2 linked regions of the Drosophila melanogaster genome follow. The protein of the gene in region 1 interacts with the protein of each later gene in a pairwise test. Each region holds a gene or a part of one and is shown on either strand. Other genes may lie near its edges.

Region 1 (5,502 bases):
TAAAACGATTTAATAACATCAATTTAAAGAAACACTTTCACCCTTTTTGTTTTAGCTCTTAACATATAATTTTTCTAGCGTTTAATGGGGCGTATGTGTGCTAAGAATTGTTGCAACCATTTTAAATCCCCGGAAACCATGGCCACTCACCTCAAAAACCCTTTTCATTCTGTTTTCCTAGTTTTTTTTTTTGCGAGGGCGCAAATATTTAGTGCAAAACTTTCTGTTTGTCTTTGCCGGTTGGGGGGTGCAACAAAAAATTGTTGGCCAAAGTTTAATGAGCCACATGACCCTTTTCGCCTGCGACTTCGTCTTTGTATCCCTTCCCTTTATCTATGAACTTTGCACTGGATATTTCAGCAGCTTGACCAAAGTGTGGTTGCTTTTGCTGCCGTTATTGTTATGGCGGCTAAAAAGTTTACCCAACACCCAAATACAACGCATAAAAAAGGCATTAACGATGTGGGCCGGAGCAAACTATTTAGCCATAAAGTTGGTCGTTCCGGCGGACAATTTCGTATGCATATTTTATGGATTTTCAAATGCTGCAAAATTGTTTTTCACGACTAGAATTTAATGTTGACAACAATAAAATTTATGCGCGGGACGAGGGACACAAAATGAATATATAAACTTGAGCGTTTGTTGAAGGGGGTGGGGCTGGATCGTCCTTGAATATTTTCTGCTTAGCTGCATTTGCATATTGTCCGGATTGGAGTCCAATTCCGTGTCCGAATCCCCAGCTATCCGGGGTATTTGCAATACTTTTTCAATCGCCCGACATGCTTTGTTGATTTCTTTATTGGCTCATCCATATGCATGCCGTTGTTGGACAGGATTCTGGACATTGGATTTGCGACTCAAGTGTTTATCGTTATTGATTGCAGTCCGTGAAATATGACGATAGCCGGCAGCATCCAATTTGTCTCGCCCGCCAGAATGCCAATACTCATGCCCGGTACAATGTGAATTGAAAACCGCACCCAAAATTGCAATTCACATGAAAATCTGCTGCTTAAGTTCCATGCAATGTTGGAAAATAGCCCTAAAGTTCAGAGATGTTCTTTAGGATTGCTTCCCAAATCCGAATAGAACTGCAAGTCACTTTTTTACACTACCAAACCTTTCGGTGACCCGCTCAGACCACATACTTGTGGGTTGGGATTTGCTCCTTAACAGGATAATAAGGAATACCTCAATGCATATGACTAAAACATACTAAAATGGTTTTTAGCGTTAGAATTCGAAACACCCGACCACTACTCACCTGAATTACGAAGGAGATCACATGGATGATGGGCGACGCGGGCTTTATGGAGCGCGTGGAGCAGCCTGATCGGTACAGGTCCTCATCCCTTTCACTGCCATTCTTGTAACAGGATTTTGGGATATTCAGATCGCCCAACTTGTAGTCGTCAGGTCCCAAAACTCCGCAGCACTGGCACTTTTAATAAACGAAGTGGGTAACTTTACTACTTAATATAATATTATTGCGAAACTCTTACGCGACTTTCGTAGAATTCCAAACTCTTGCGATTCATCCATATTCGAAGTACATCTCCAACAATTTGGTACTGTTGTGCAAACAGTATAGTCAGCATCATCTGCAACCATGTTGCCAGGAAGAGTACTGTGGCATACTGTAAAATTTAAATACAATCTTGGCAATCGCTGTGTTTTTAAAAATAATGTTTACAAACAATTACAATGCGTATTTCGCGGCATAAATGCGAATATATGAAGAAAAAACCGACTATCAGCAGCGGCGCCATTAGGGCATTTACGGTTAGAGCGATTATCATGTAGGACCTGAACAAACAATCCCAGCAAGGCATGTGTTCCTTCAGTATGAAATAGTATATGTAAATATCCGCACAGCTGAAAATCTGTGGGTGGGAACACCTTTGTAGTGGTTTTTTCTTCGCTTCCATGATATTACCTACGAAATTGACCAACCACACAAAGTAGATTATGAACTTGCAAATCTGTAGCTTTCCAACGCTGAGTAATCTTTGAAGGCATCCCGTTTCCTCATTATCCACCATATTTTATCCGAAAAATACGAATATATATATTTTTGACCTAAAATGACACTGCTTTCGATGGTATAACTGCTTTAAAAAAAAAAAACAGAATTTTTTCGGTTGACAATTAGCGATACTATGTTTTTCAATACCAATACGATGTCCATTATAATTTGCAAATTCAGCTAGCTTTTGGTATTAACTCCAATTGCTTACAAAAGACAAGATGTTAAGTTCTAAAATCCCAAGTTGACAGATACTTACAATTCATTAATGAAGTTTCCAGTGAGTTTCCGTTTTTGCTCTAATGCAGTTGGTTATTCGACATAGTTAATATCTTAACATTAATCACTGAAAATCACAATGACGGATCTAATGAGGAGGTAATACGATATTTTGCGTTTATGCCAGATAGTATTCATAGTATTCATAGTATTCATTTCAATACCAGTCTAATTGTCTTCGTTGGCAAGGTCATGTAGCCGAAGCCAGTATATTATTATAACGGCCATACATAAGAACTATTCAGTTGTCGGAAAAACTTGGTTAATACATAGTTATATAATTTGAATGTCTGTATAACCTTACCGTAAGGAGCCAGCATATCATAAATATGGGATGGGCTGTCGTCTTGTCAGGATTCAATTCAGTACTTAGACACACGAACAGAATTATCAGTTTCACCACGACGATGGCTACATAAACAAAGATCATCTGAAAATTACATCAAAAATTTAACTCAATGATTTTTAAAACCTCATGCTAACGAACCACTTTCAGAATTCGAATTTTATTACAGATCGCCGCATATATTAAAAGAACCAGAGTCGCCAGTATAACTACGGACAGGGATAGGCTTATAATAAGCATAATATAATGGTATCCCTTTAATAAATTCAATATAGAAACATCTTTGGCTATTTGAGCACCATTAATTCCCTGCCAATTGAATATTGAATTGGTTAATCAATCAAATGAGCATCCAACTTACTGCGGTTATAGGTATTACTAACAAAAGTACAATTTTGAGACCAAGTGTCGGACAAAAGCACATTCTGTCAAGATAGAATTTGAAAATATTTCGTTCGAAGAACTAAAACAAATGTGTGGAAAAAAGTTTAGAATTTTCTGAAAAGTTTACAAGTTTTACAAATCCTTACCACAATCAATACTCTTTATAAGAATTAGTCAGCTTGTCTTGAATTCTCTGTTAGCCGTATATAAAAGAATAGATTAAAGAGCATACAGCAACACTATTTTGAATTAATTAAGATTATTTTATCACCAATCCAATTAAATGAAATACGCACCGTGAATTTCCAGCATAGAAAGAACCAAAAATGTGCGGCAGTATTTTCAATACCTGTTTCTGCGGTTAATACGCAAACGATTACGATAATACCCTTTGCTACACACTTAAAAATCAAGAAAACAAGCGTCTGAAAAAGTTGTACAATATTTTGAATACAATAATTATTTTTGAATAATTCAAAGCTACGCACCACGTTTAAAGCCAATATATGATGACGAATAGCAGCAAAAATGGCAACTAAGAGAACAACTAGTATGATAACACATAGTGCTAGACTTATAGTAAGCATAACATGATGGTGACCCACCAGTTTATCCAGCAAAGTAATGTCCTTCGCTATTTGCGCGCCATTAAATCCCTTAAAAAAATGCGTCAACAGTAATTTGACATGAACGGGTGTCTATTCAACTCACTGCGGCAAGATGTATGAATGCCAAAAGAACGATTTTGAGTACACGAGTTGAGCAAATGCACATTATAGCTCAGATGAAAATAAAAAATTTAACATTTAGATTTTTGCAAATGGTAATCCAATTGACATTGTTCTCAAGTGTTAAATAAACAAATAAATTGGGTTATTTTCATAAATTTATACTTCTTTGCTTCATTCAACGTTCGAAGAGCTTGAAAAAGGACTTTAAGAAATCTGTGGAATTTGCATAGATTTATTCAGCATCGCAGCTTTTGACCGCGTTTGGTAATGGAAAACGGCTTGGGGGCGTGGAAAACTAGAACTAAAACCCGTACACATCCCTGCATGTTGAGCTGCTGTGGAATTTTTTAATCAAACAGTTGCCATTAATTACTGCAAAATTCTCTAGCCACATGACAGACATTTTTTCGACAGCCAGCCGCGCTGGAATGAATGAAAGAAAACAGGATGCGCTGCCGAGTCCTTCTTCGTGTGGGCGCCTGTATTTGTGAGCTAGAATCTGCGAGATGGCTTCAAATGCCATATGGGTGGGGCAGCTGCTGCTGCTGGGTATGGAATGCCAAGCGAACCGACCGCAGACTCGCCACCAAAAGGAGCAGCAACTAAAAATCAAATTAGGTGCAAACGAGCGCCTGTCGGCGGCAGGCGTTCATTTACTTGGCTCAAAAAAAAAAAAAAATGTGGGCGTGTCGCGGTTGCGTTTTCGTAATGAATAATTTATAATGCAAACGGGCGATGGATTTTATTTTCTTGTAAGCTCTTAGTTGAGATTAAAATTTTGCGGTTTGCCGAAAACCGGTGGAGTTAAAGTTCATGCTCCGCATGATTCGCCTGAATCGGCTGATAAATGTGCGTGGGCTGGTGTCATGTGCACGCTCGTGAATTCAATTTGATACACAAACTGATTTATCGACTCCAAAGCAGTGGCAGTAGCAGGAAATTCAAGGCACTTAAAAAATATACATGTAGTTCAAGTGTACTGCAATGTTTGTTCTCAGGTTAGGGGTACCTAAACAGTTTTTTGAATGAATCTTTAAAGTATCCTTCACATTACTAAATCATACTAAAATCATATAAATCTAATTGTATCATTTCTAGCGATACAAAAATAAGTTATTTTTTGTTGAACTATATATTATTATTTTTAAGCCCATACAATTTCTTCCAGTGCTTTGTCTCGACTCAACTTGGCACACGCCATTCATAAGTCAGTCGTCGTCAGTGGGAGAGTGGAGTCGAAAGTCGCAGACGATAAAAAATTACATACACTTGTAACTGGTGTCCTCGGGCCGGAGTCCTTGCCGTTACCACTGCTCCGGAGTTATGTCCTGGCCCCGCCTTTGCCTGTGCTGCAGCCTCTAACAAGGTTAATTTGTTGCGATCGCAGTTCTGTGTCATTTATCTTCGCTGTCAGCGGCAACTTCTCGCATAGAGCGCAGCTCCTGGCATCGTTCTAATTTGAATTTAACAAGCTCACTGGAGGAAAGGATGTGGACAGGGGTCCATCAGAGCATCAGTCTCTAGGGGAGCATTGAAAATTAAAAATTTATTGCCGGGCGTGGTGTCAATCATCGCTGGCATCATTCTCAGTTCAGCTGAGAACGTAATAAAGTATTGGAATAAAAATCACTGGGGATTTGTGCTACTCTATCAAAAGTGAAAATTCATATTTTTAATATAATTTTATGTTAACATTCTTCCAAAAATAGGTTAAGACAAGAGTACTTATAAAT
Region 2 (4,688 bases), on another chromosome or scaffold:
TACATAGTGATGGCTTCTGGGGGCAATTCTCCTCGTCACTCCAGTCGCCGCAGTCGTTGTCGCCATCGCAGCGGAAACGATTGAGAATGCACTGGCCACTGGGACCACCTGCTCCACCCAAACCGCCGCGGCACTTGAACTCGCCCTCCGGACAGCTGTTTATGACCGCCGCGCACTTGAGCTCATCCGAGTTGTCATTGCAATCGTGCTCACCATCGCAACGAAAGGCCAGGGAGATGCAATAGCCATCGTTGCAGGTGAAGTGCTCATCCGTGCAGGTGGTGCGATTGCAGTGGGTCTCGTCGGAGAAGTCCTTGCAATCGTTCTCGCCATCGCATACCCAGGTTCGTGGAATACAGAATCCGTTGAGACACTCGAACTGATCATCTGTACAATTCGTCCTGGCTCCGCAGTGCGTCTCATCCGAGTAGTCACCGCAGTCATCATCTCCATCGCAGAGCCAATACTTGCTAATGCATCGAAAGGTTCGCGGGCACATCACATGTATCCCGGTCTTCTCGCAATCCCTTTGCAAATTCGGCACTGCATCCTCCTCGGGATTGCAGTTCTCGTCGGATTCATTGGAGTTCTGGCAATTGGAGTATGTCTCACCCGGTTGACTGGGATCGTCCTGCACCAGAACGGCCAGATTGACTCTAAATGGCTTCTGTTTGTTACTCGGACCACCTATAAAACCATCTCGACCACGTGAACTGATTCGATCAGTTTCGCGAATGCCGGCTATTTCGGTTCTACCCCTCTGGGCGCCAATGTTCCGGAACTTGGGAGTATCGTTTGAATTTGTGCCACCGGATATTCTAGTCTTGGATGGCACAGACGATTCCATCGTATGCAATCTTCCCTCTCCACTATGATGCACCTCCTGGCTATCCTCGTTATTCTGCTGATACGGCGGATAGTTGGAGACGGGAAAGAGTTTCTCGCCGAACTTGCTCAGCTCCTCCGACAGCTGATCCTCCCGCGACTCGTTGCCCGCCTCTAAATGTCCGATTCTGGCATCCGAGTGCAGCTGCTTGTGCTTATTCCAATCCCAACGACCCAGTGCGTTTGTCGGGTGAATTCCATAGTGGGGCGCGTTACGTTTCACAGCAGTTTTTGTCAAGTCGCCGAGACCGAGACCTAGTCAAAGGATTTAAATCGATACCATTTAACTTCTAATTAGCTCAAAATGCAGCAAAGGCTTTTGCCTTATCATACAAGTTCAGTCGTGTTAAGTTGAATTGAATGTTAACTACAAGTAGTTAAAGGAAAACCCCCCTATTTCTCATTCAAAGCAGATAGCAAAAGGCACGTTTTGCTATTGTTCCCACGCCACTGCAATGTTCTTGGAAAATACAACACTTTTCATAGGAAAGGAGCATTGAATGCAATGCTTCTGATTTGATACATACAAAGGTCATGTCTTGAGTTAAAAGGTTTTCCAATAGTTCAAAAACAGCTTTACAAAAACATGCATACATATGTACATACATACATATGTACATAGTCATGGACACGTTTTGTATGCAAGCAATATCCTTAAATAAAAAAGTTTCATTCAATTCGATGCATGTTCTTTGATGCCTTGCACATACATATTATAGATTGCATGTTCCTGGAAATTCGTATTACAATTAAGCCCTCTTGAGCAGGGAATTTTCTCAATTGGCTAGTTTTCGTGTGCAAGTTTTCATTGAGCAAAAAGTGCTGTTGGTCTGAGCGCATCGTGGGCGTTAACAGAGAGATACCCTTCATCTCCCCCCAGGACAAACTGTGTTGCGAGGACAATACTTACAGAGCCACACGAAGCATACCAATGGCCAAAAGGGAAAGGCTGTCAAATACATGTCCAGACATGTACACAAACTCGCCCACTCATAGGCACGTAACGTAGTAGCGCTGCGAGCTTTACTGCTTTTGCTTCCGAAGCATTTGCTGCTCTGCTAAGCGGATGCTGCTGCTGCTGCTGCTGCTGCTGTGCTGTTGCTTTCTGCTAACTGCTGTTCCGATTCTGTTAAGAGAAAGAGAGGAAGGTAGAGAGAAGGAGGTTTTCGTATTGAGCGCTTGCGTATAACATATTTTGCTACCAAGGCGGATCTAGAGTTTTATATATATATTTCTTTTTTTGAGGGGGGGCGGGGCGTAACTTTTAAAATAATGAAATTCACTCAATGATTTTTTGTCTCTAGGTTTTGGACAATATAAAGTTAATGCAAAGTTTTGGGCTTGGGGGAGGGGGGTTACTATGCGCAAAACCCGCCCACCTGATGTATATGTTGTGTATATGTTACACTTAAGCACACTCGTTCTTTGCGTAGGTGTCACTCAATAGATTTTACTCTATTCATCTTATTTGTAAGCACTTGGTTACTTCTGGTCTTTGTTATTTACTTATTGTGTCACTGGGTTTTTTATGATTTACATAAATGTTTATTGTAAGTTAATAAATTTAAATGCCTGGCTTGTACGTCCTCAACATTTTTCACATTACGCTGTCTCACTAAACAGAAGGTTTATTGTGACTTTGTAGGTCCAGGACCGACTCCGTGAATGGATCAAATATCATGCGGCACGGCATTCATGGCACTACTTCATTCAATGTATATCCTATTATAAAGTTGCGTGGGCTTGGCACTGCGTTTGGCATTTCCAGAATGTGGTATAAAGGTGTTTATAACGTCCTGCGAAGTCCCCTCGCAAATGAATGCGATATTTGGGACTTTGTTGGCATTTATGTATGTATGTCATGAGCACCACACACGCGAACATATGCATATTAAACACAGTATTATTAAACAAAAAGAACCTCCTGAAACTTTGACACTTTTCGATTCCAATTAGCAAGTGGCGGGCGAGAACAATTGAATCAGCTAATTGTTCCACACACATTTGTGTGGGTAATTTACGTGAATGAAAAATTATTTTCGTACAGCACGTCTCTTGTCTTCTTCGGGAATATAACGAATATAAAATTTCAGGGGATTACAGCATCCCTCTGACGGAAAGCGAAGTCGGCGGACGCGAGTGTTCCACTCAACTCTCGTGTGCTGTTTCAAAGTTTTCTCTGAATCCTTAAGCTTTTTCTGGGAAGCGAGCTTTTGTCTGTGTGCCGAGAGTGAGGGTAAATTAATTTGCAACAACTAAGTTAGCAAAATGCGAACCCAATTAAGGATTGTATCATTGAAAGCATTCTCCACGCTGCAGTTTTTCCTAAAAAACAACAAAAAACTGCAGCACCGAAATTAGGACAATGGACATGGAAGTCCATTTTAATCTCGATGTGTACATATATCGGTACATCATTTCTCGGAAGGGATCCACAGGTTACTTTTGTTTATCATTAACCTGGCATTCCTAAGTCGCGAAAGCTTTTTACCCTTTTATCAATATCTTATTAATTATTAAACAAAGCAGCAAAGATTATATCTTTTTTTTACAATTGCTTTTAGAATTTTTTTAGTGAAATTATTTTAGGTTTCTTACATGTCTTACTGTTTGTCATCTAAAACTGTTTAAGTACAACCCTAAAGAAAATAACAGCAGTTCAATGCTTTTTGTAAGCGGTACAGGATCTTTAAGTGCAGCATTCATTTATTTACGACTCTTTCGAACAACCTGCCATTTAATCAACAGGTTCCGGCCATTTAAACGGAATTTAATAAGGGTGTTTTGATCACGATTCAACCTAGTAGGGTGATGCCAGTGAGTTTTGCATTACTGACCATTTTGTCGTGGACCACGATCGTTAAATGTATGACATGCCGAAAGATCGACTGTCAGTACCATCCTTACATGAATGCAGGGTGGCAACGCCCTAGCATATTTTAGTATTTTTGATTTTGCTGGAGTAATTGGAACACTTGAGTGATGTGAAATTCACATCAAGAGTAAGTTCGTAAGATCGTATAACAAAAAGCTTATTTAAGAAAAAAAGTAGTGCAATTAGAAGAACTTTGTTTTTATTATAAGGGTAAGACCCTTTTATAGTCCATCAAACCCATTGATGGATTATAAGTTTTTAATGTTCTAATAACAACCCTAAGTGAAACATATTTCACAAGCAACAAGTTGGAAACGCAATGAGGAGGTTCCCCTTTTCAACGTATTTCGCTTGCCTTTCATTGCAAAGGATAGTACTATACTAATAACCGATGAAGATCGATATGTTTTACTGATCGCAGTGAGCAAGAGATATAACTCCGATGACGGCATGCTGAACTAGTTTTTTTCTGCCATAAGGTGTAACTATCTGGTTCACATAAATGCTTTGTCCACGCCGGTTAAGTGGCAAACGTGTGCAACTTCGAGTATACTTTTTTAATAGTTAATTTACATTACTCCATGAAGTGCTGTGCCGTTTGTATATAACCAGAATTCCGAGAATAGGCGTAAGTGAAAACTTTTGTTCTCGAGCTGATCGTACATAGCCATGCATGTACATGTACATAAGTACATAGTGTGAAATGAACGAGTTATTTCTGAGCAGGTCGAAAAAATATGTAAATAATGTAATGTGCATATGAATAAGTCAAGGTATTAGGGTTATATGCTATACTCTAGTGCTCCCACAGGACTAAACACATATGCCCGCAGTGTGCCCATACTTGAGCAAATACTTGAATTAAATGTGAAAAGAAGGTTGCAACATACATATGTATGTATGTACTTATGTACGATCATTTCCTATT

What was found. Proteins that work in one complex are often made in the same cells at the same time.
Region 2: the proteins of CG42661 (region 1) and Lrp4 interact in a two-hybrid assay, tested with the Drosophila melanogaster proteins (one large-scale study listed by BioGRID).

Annotation. Positions count from the first base shown.
Region 1 is NT_037436.4:7,463,862-7,469,363, reverse strand, and holds CG42661 (uncharacterized protein), read right to left. Parts: upstream 3,856-5,502; 5' UTR 3,813-3,855; coding exon of another isoform or gene 3,750-3,812; intron 3,695-3,749; coding exon of another isoform or gene 3,527-3,694; intron 3,464-3,526; coding exon of another isoform or gene 3,335-3,463; intron 3,278-3,334; coding exon of another isoform or gene 3,209-3,277; 5' UTR 3,185-3,208; intron 3,118-3,184; 5' UTR 3,079-3,117; coding exon 3,016-3,078; intron 2,964-3,015; coding exon 2,796-2,963; intron 2,739-2,795; coding exon 2,613-2,738; intron 2,546-2,612; coding exon 2,477-2,545; 3' UTR 2,289-2,476; intron 2,236-2,288; 3' UTR 2,177-2,235; intron 2,112-2,176; 3' UTR 2,046-2,111; coding exon of another isoform or gene 1,944-2,045; intron 1,887-1,943; coding exon of another isoform or gene 1,701-1,886; 3' UTR 1,641-1,700; coding exon of another isoform or gene 1,506-1,640; intron 1,445-1,505; coding exon of another isoform or gene 1,268-1,444; intron 1,219-1,267; coding exon of another isoform or gene 1,102-1,218; 3' UTR 556-1,101; downstream 1-555. Other genes in the region: Tsp66A (tetraspanin 66A), read right to left, coding at 1,102-1,218, 1,268-1,444, 1,506-1,640, 1,701-1,886, 1,944-2,045; CG42660 (uncharacterized protein), read right to left, coding at 3,209-3,277, 3,335-3,463, 3,527-3,694, 3,750-3,812.
Region 2 is NC_004354.4:15,909,231-15,913,918, reverse strand, and holds the start of Lrp4 (LDL receptor related protein 4), read right to left. Parts: upstream 3,050-4,688; 5' UTR 2,931-3,049; intron 2,553-2,930; exon of another isoform or gene 2,265-2,552; intron 2,012-2,264; 5' UTR 1,848-2,011; coding exon 1,796-1,847; intron 1,141-1,795; coding exon 1-1,140.